2 linked regions of the Coturnix japonica genome follow. The protein of the gene in region 2 binds, or shares a complex with, the protein of the main gene of each other region. Links are inferred from orthologs where the notes say so. Each region holds a gene or a part of one and is shown on either strand. Other genes may lie near its edges.

Evidence for each region.
Region 1: NUP205 (region 2) and CETN3 share a complex: the UniProt entries of both Homo sapiens proteins name them as parts of the nuclear pore complex. The link is inferred for Coturnix japonica from reciprocal best matches to the Homo sapiens genes NUP205 and CETN3.

Annotation. Positions count from the first base shown.
Region 1 is NC_029547.1:53,317,820-53,321,737, forward strand, and holds the start of CETN3 (centrin-3), read left to right. Parts: upstream 1-1,599; 5' UTR 1,600-1,710; coding exon 1,711-1,727; intron 1,728-3,402; coding exon 3,403-3,538; intron 3,539-3,918. UniProt on the Homo sapiens protein: Plays a fundamental role in microtubule-organizing center structure and function. As a component of the TREX-2 complex, involved in the export of mRNAs to the cytoplasm through the nuclear pores.
Region 2 is NC_029516.1:43,453,656-43,457,473, forward strand, and holds part of NUP205 (nuclear pore complex protein Nup205), read right to left. Parts: intron 3,335-3,818; coding exon 3,284-3,334; intron 2,839-3,283; coding exon 2,629-2,838; intron 1,843-2,628; coding exon 1,743-1,842; intron 835-1,742; coding exon 697-834; intron 429-696; coding exon 239-428; intron 1-238. UniProt on the Homo sapiens protein: Plays a role in the nuclear pore complex (NPC) assembly and/or maintenance. May anchor NUP62 and other nucleoporins, but not NUP153 and TPR, to the NPC.

The sequences.
Region 1 (3,918 bases), on a different chromosome or scaffold from region 2:
CTTGTCTTTACACTATCTTCTTACAGTTCAAAAGGTATAACTTTTATATATACAAAGGTACAAAGTTAAGCAAGCATAATTGAGTCTTCTGCACTTGCACAGAGGTCATCTGGGGAGGTGTCCCCCTACTCACTTTGACTATGTTTGGGCACAGGTTTTCTGAGGTGTTCTGCTAATGAAGAAGCAAAACTGCTTCCAGCAGGCTTTTGGCAATACCTGGTATAGTGTTCACAGATAGGCCCTACACATAGACAGACAGAAGAATGGTTAGTGCTGCTGTCTCACATCTGCTGTGTGATCTCACTCAAGACCAGTAACCTTTCCTAGCTCCAGGGTCTGTCTGATGGGTCTATAGTTCCCTGGATCCTCCTTACAACCCTTCTTGTAGATCAGAGTCATAGGTGTATTTTTCTTGTCCGTGGAACACATAAATACTTGACAGCTGGCTTTAGGCAACCAGTAAGCTTCCTGGCAGCCAGAAAAATGAGAGATGAGCTACACATCTTGCTCCAATTTATAGGAGGAAGGAGAGGTACTTTGACATATGTATACCTGGCGTGAGATTAAGAAACAATGGTTCAAATGTTGGTCCAACCAGTTTATTATAAGTCCTAGAAATGGGATGGGAGAAAGCCAGGAAGCTCCACAGCAAGCGGGGGGTGGTTCTTCCAAAGAGGTCTTCCCCTCAGGGAATTCTCCATCAAAGGTGTCTTTGGGGGTTTGTCTCCAAAGTCCCCAGTTTAGTGAGGGCCTTTTATCCACTATTTCTGTGGTGTTTTTTTTTTTTTTGTTTGTTTGTTTTTTCTTTTTTTTTTTTCTTTTTTTCTTTTCTCTCAGTCAGTGTGACATTCCTGACCCAACAGATAAGACAGCAGGGGGTGGTATGTTTGTTGTCATGCACAAGCATTATCGCCTTTTGCAGTGGTCAGCTCTTTCATGCTGCACCCCTGAAAGAGACTGCTTGTCCCACTTCTGCTTATCTTTACAATCATAAGCAGAGGTACAGTGGCATGGTGACACCCACCATTCATCCCCCTAGAGATAATTAGCAGTTGTCAGTTAAGAGTCTTATCACCAGAAAGGCCTCACAGAGCAAGCTTTGAAACAAAGAGAAACAGTTCTGTCTTTCACATATGACTATTAGGCACCTACAGGTACCTAATCACATTCCGTGCTGCTAGATCAGATCATTATCCAATTCTTACACTTGAAATAAGTATCAGAATACTTCATACGTAGTCTTTGATGTGTTTTTTAATAAGACTTGCGCTGACTGATAAGTGCTGACTTTCAGAAGCTGTTCCCATACACTGACTGTGCACAACCATGTCACTGCTGACGTTTCTCAAGGGTGACACAGGACACATCCTACCAGAGCCAACCCTCAGCCTGCAAAGGGCGGCAGCTTCAGCGCTGCCCTGCGTGTGGAGAAACACGCCATATCCACGCTCACTCCCAAGATGGCGCCGCCGTCACCGCACTGACGGCCTCCACAGTAAGCCCCGCCCCTCCCACAGCGACACAACTTAAGCTGACCCACACGGAACGCTCCCTTCTACTTGAGTGGCAGCGCGATAACCTATGAACGCGTCGAGAAGGCGGGAGCAGATCTGGCTGATAACCAATCAGACGGTGAAATGAGGCGGGGGGGGCGTGGCTTGTCGTTTCCACGGGGAAGTCGGCGCGTTGGGACGCGGCAGTGGCGGTAGTATGAGCTTGTCCTTGAGGTACGTGTGCGACCGGCCAGCAGGTCGGGCTGCGGGGCGGCACAGTGGTGGGGAGGAGGTGTTCCTACGGGGCGGCCGGGCCTCGTCACCGCCGTGTTTGTGTCGGCGTTAATCTGCATTCAGAGCTGTAAGTAGATTCCTCTCGGCTGTCCGCGTCCCAGCTGCTGGTCCGGCACAGTCGTGTGGGGCCTTCCCGAAGCGGCGGCCGGGGCACGGTGAGGTAACAGAGCCGGCATGTGCTTCTCGTGTCTATCTCTGGAGTCTGCCCGGTGCCGGTCATTGGTTGGTGACAGATAAATCTCAGCTGCGTGGTTAATCTCCGATGTCAATTAGAATTAGATAATCTTCAGTGAGGGGGAAGAAAAAAGAGCTGGTTACGGGGTGTGGGGAGTAAGCACCTTTGGAAAGCAGTTCTCCGTTCACACATAAGTGACTACCATGCACTGTGCAGTAAGTGGTACTACATGTGTTTTGTCAGTGCTGCAGGTAAGTGAATATAAAGGGTTTCCTGAGATCATTTTGAATTGCACAGCAGCCTAGGTTTGGAAGATATTGTGAAAGTTATCTTGTCCAGCTCTGCTCAGAGGTGGAGGTTGAGGGCCTTTCCCAACACTACTAACAGCTGAGATCCTGTGATCTCCCAGTGGAGCTATTCTGCTGCATAACCACTTGCACTGTGGCAGTGGTAGACCTTCTAGGTCTGCTACCACCTTCTGCTTTTACTGCTTGTAGCTGACTCTTGTTGCTATGCATCTCTGATGGGGACTTGCCTGTCTGCCTTGTCTAATCCTCTAGACAGTGCCTTAGCCTTCCCACACAGGGTCCTTTTGCCAACACACCTGGATTGAAACAAACGCATCTCCTTCAGCTCCTCCTTAACCAGATGCTGCAGCCACCTAGGTACTGATCACAGTCCCCTTTATTTTAGCCATCTTCTCTGCATCTGTTGTACTGGGGCACCCCAATTCAATGCAGTACTTTGGGTGCAGGTGCACAACTGCAGAATGGTAGGATTTAGCACCAAAGGAGCTGTGCTCATTGCTGCAGGTTTGTTGTGCTGTTGATTGCAGACCTTTATGTCTGCATATCCCAAGAGTGTGCTTTCAGCCTTTTTAGGGGACTTGACTGTTTTGTATGTATGAGCAACAGAGCAAAAACGTATCTGGTTTATTATGTATATGATAATATTTTTAAAAATCCATAAATATTTGGCATCAATGAAACTCTACTGGCAAAAAATCCAAAGATTTATGGCACTTAACACTCACTTCAGCAGCTGGACTAAATGCCTAACTAAAGCTCTAGCTGTCTCCTAAAACTTTCTAGTTTCACTACAGTTTAGAAATAAGGTGTCTTCTAGAGTTGTACCATGTCAGCTGCAGTCTATCTTGTAACTGCAACCTCAAGTATTCTTTTTAACTGGTAGATTTTTCTAATTTTGATTGATTGATTGTTTATTAACTAGATCACCTCTGCTGGGCAGAGGAGTAGAGAAGCCATTCAACCTGTGCAAAGGAATTGCCTGTTTCAGGTATTACTTCAAACTGGGAGATCAAGTTGGGAAGAAGCTGAATGGGGATGGCAATGAACTTGTGCTATTATTATTATTATTGGTGGGAAAATGGTGTCTTTCCAGTATTAATCAGTTGTATTGAATTTCCCTCTTGTCATGTAGGAGTGAGCTTTCAGCAGACAAAACTAAAAAGAAGAAGAGAAGAGAACTGACTGAGGAACAGAAACAAGAAATTAAAGATGCCTTCGAGTTGTTTGATACAGACAAAGATAGAGCAATAAATTACCATGAGTTGAAGGTATTTTTATTTATTCAGAATTTAAATATCTTTGGGGCAGGTATTATACATCTGAATGAATTTTTAAGTTATCAACTCTATCTTGAAAAATGCTAAATGGTCAAGATGTCCTGCAAGGCTGAAGTGGGGATATTTGAATAATTGCTGATGTGTATTGATGTAAGACTCATCTACGTCTTACACTTGCCACAGTAGTAGAGTTGCTATAGCATACTGTGTAGCAGATCTTACTGCTCCCTAGAGTTTAGCTTGGGCAGATGAGTAAGCTGGAGAAGCTCTGCTTGGTTTTTCTGAAGACACTGTATAATCTAAAACTTGATGCTGTTAAAATCCAAGTGTCTCAAATGCTTAGATAAAAGATATGTCAAGTTTATAAAACA
Region 2 (3,818 bases):
AAGCTTTTGGTTTTCTCCCGCTCTATGACATCCATACAAAGTATGCGTCAAATTGAAAATTTCATGCCAGGGAACCACTGCATAGAAGGCAAACTGAAAGAAATTCTGAGGAAAAAAAAAAATAAATAAGGTCAGATTCCAATCTTGAGAAGCACCACTAGCCGGTAAAATGGAAGGATAGGGATCCAGTGACTTCCATGCCTACAAAACTCCTCCCTTCTCAGTACTCTGAACATACCTAGCGATATTCACTACATGATCGGCCTTTTTGGTGCGGGGATTGATTCCCTGAAGCAGCTGCTCCAGTTGTGTGACAATTAGGGAAAGATGGCTTTCCCGTAACAGATCCATAAAAAGATTTTCTTTCTGTAGGGTTAAGTTTAGAAGTGCAAGGCAATACTCCACTGCTTTCTCTAAATGCTTCTTCCCTGCAGTGCACAAACAAACAAACAACAACAAGAGAAAGAAAGGAGCAGTTACATAGGCCTGACATAGGCCACATTCATAAACATAATTCACCAAGTGTTGTACAAAGAAAGAATTCCATCAGTTATTTATTACTAGGAAAATTCCCCACAAAACACAATTTCTATATGGAAGAGAAGCAAAATCAAGTTGAAGTTACACAACATCAGCTTTAGTTCCTAGGTAGTATGCACTTCGACTTTACATGGAAAATAAATTCTAGGCACATACCTGGAAATGGGGCATAAGTATCCAGCTGCTTAACCCCTTCCTCCAGCAAACTCAGAGAGAGTTCCAGCATTGGGGACTCATTCAATAGATGATACATCAAATTGAACCCAGGTGGTTTGTATGCTATTATTTCATCTCCTAAAGGCAGAAGAAAAAAACAAAAAAAAAAAACACCACAAAATAGAAAAAGCTTCTATTACTCAAACTAGTCTTAGAAAACAGAGCAGACCCTGTTTTGTTGCAAGCAGCAGATGTAAGTAACTTACTGCATCCAAAGTCTTCAGAGCTTTACTTTACAGACAAGCCATTTAGGTAGCTTAGAAAGTTTGGAAAGAGCAGTAATGCCAATTACCACTGTTCTTCAGTATCTAATGGCTGGTTTTCAACTTTAACTGGTTAGACTCTCCCTGAGCTGATTTCCCTTGAATTCTGATAAACAACAGGACTTTATACTAGATTGGAGCTATGTTAAATGGTTCTGTGAGACTGAAAAGTAACTGAGAAAAAACTTTACATCTCCCAAAACCTTCAAAAATATCCAACATAAGGAAAAAAACATTTCCAGAAAACAGTGTTGAGAAGGGTACATTGAACTACTGATTCTTACAGTCTAAGATCCTTGCTTATCTGCTGCAACAAAATAAGAAAACTGCTGGCCTGAAACACCAAGTTCCTCAATAAAATAAAAGCAAAATTTAAATTAAGCTTTAGGTTAAAAGTAAACTTTTAAGTTAATCCTATGTGTAGTTGTGATTTAAATAAAGACCAAAAGAAACAAATCCAGAGGAATCCAAGAGAAATATAAGTCACCCTCCTGGCAGAGCCACAGGCACTGGAAATAATTTACACTAAGGTCTTCTGAATCAGGAGTATAATTCCCTGTATTAGGTGGACATTTTTTAATGTCTTCTTTTCTTATTGCCCTGACCTATCTTTTTGCCGGCTTATTTGCTGTACTAACAAGACCACAAGATAGAGGCAAGAGAGCAAACAAAGTTACTGTTCAGTTTGTCAGCGAACAAATATAAGTGAATGAACAAGTTAACCTTGTAATTCCACATACTGGTCCACGAAGTCTTCAAGCTGAGGTTCATAGTCCCGTAGCAATTTGTAAAATACCTCTAGTACCACTTCAGCCACTTCCCACTGTAGATAGTCACAAAATAAAGAAAATTCATACACAGAATATGACTAATGCTGCAGCAACAAGACCAGAATGCAAATAATACAACAAAATGCAGTGAGACAGTTGATCAGATGCACAGCATGACTGTCTCATTCTAAAGTACTATCCCATAACACTTGAATCCATCACAACAAATAATTTAAACTGCCAAGCTTCCTTTTTTGAAGTAAAATGGAACACTAAAACAGACATATTGTCTCTTTTGTCCTCTCTCCTTTATAACACATGTTAATGCATTAAAAACTACAAGTAATAAACAGACTACAGGTATACAGCAGCTAGTAACAGTTCCTTAACAGCTTTGAGAATGCAGTGTAGCATGTGTGCTCATCCAAAAGGAAATTCCAACTCCTTGCTTCAGGGAGAAAGAAACATTCTCTGAATTAAAAAAGAGGAAAGGACAAAAGTGACTTTCAGATTTCAGAACGTGATGTTCAGAAGTCATTAGCCAATTGGTTCAAATAATTTTTATCACAGAACACATAACCTAACTATGTCTAGAAATAAAAATTATTCCTTTATGAGCAGCCTGCTCTTTTAAGTAGCTGAAGGTCCATTTTCAGCAATGGATTATTGACATTGCCAGGTTCGCCACCCCAAGTTACCCCTGCTGGATTGAGCTTGCACATAAGACAGCTTTTCAAACAGATTTAAGCTTCATAAGCAATCTCAAATCATCTAAAATTAGGTATATACCATTGTATCCTAAAAACTAAATTAAAAAAATAATTTAAAATAAACATTACTTTTTCAGCAGCTCTTCGGTAAGCTCTGGTCCGGAACCGAAGAAACACGGAGTCCCTCAGGAACTGAAGATAGGGATCAAAGCCTGGTGGGCGGAGACCGGCCCCCAAGTTTGAGGGGAATGAACTCTCTACGAGAGTGCTGATGAGTCGACAGAAGGCACGGGTTAAAGGATACTCCTCACATCTGGATTCAATCTCATTCAGTTCAACCTACCCAAGAGGACAGCAAAAAACAGAAAACCAAAGGTTTTGAGTGAGAAAGAAAAACTCGAGAACAAATAAGATAAAGACAACATCTGTAAAACTATTTTCAGTGAATTGACTTCACTGCACTATTGTCCACAGAACATCACAAACAAAGCAAAAGCAGTGAAGCAACAATACTTTGCACTTAGCTTTTAATTACCATTTTATTAAAACAGTACTGAATTGTATCAATATAACAAAAATGACTCAAATGTAGGAAAATAGGAAAATTGTAAGATGAGTGCCAATAAGGAACTTGAAGGTTCAGACACAGTTCTGTTACTAGCACAATGCTGCACTAGATTCATAAATTTATAACATTTTCAGAAAGCATAACAATCCCCAAAATTTACCCTGCACTCATATGCAGAAGATGAGATAGTCTGCCTAGGGACAAAGAAACCCTTACCTCAATACCAATCGCTTGTCTCTGGCCTGGAGTTCTCACAGTCTGTAATATCTTCACAGCAGAGACAGTGAAAACAACAGAGAAAAGAAAACAGATAAACAATATGCTTCATATCATCAAAGCATTTGCCCATCATTCCTAACAGTACCAAAAGGTACTCATCACTTTGTAGCTGTAAGAAGTTTTCTATATCCTCTTAAAAGCCAAAAAGCTAAAATTTCTTTCTCTGAAAGACTGAATTAAACACTGTACACACACTTTTCTTTACATCCCCAAAGATTTGCATCATGCTTATTTTTTTAAAAAAAAGAAGTTTTATTATGTTATTAATTTTCTTCTGATATTGGTCATGGAAGACATTTCCCTTATTATCTTTTTCAGCAGTATATTTTAGGAAATGTAATAAATTAGGAAGCAGAGGTGGTGAGCATTTAGAATACTACCACTATACAATGTCATCACTGTCGGTGCCTGTTAATTATCAATTAACAGTAAGTCAGTAGTCATAGCTCAGAATGCCTCAAGCTCTTTCAAA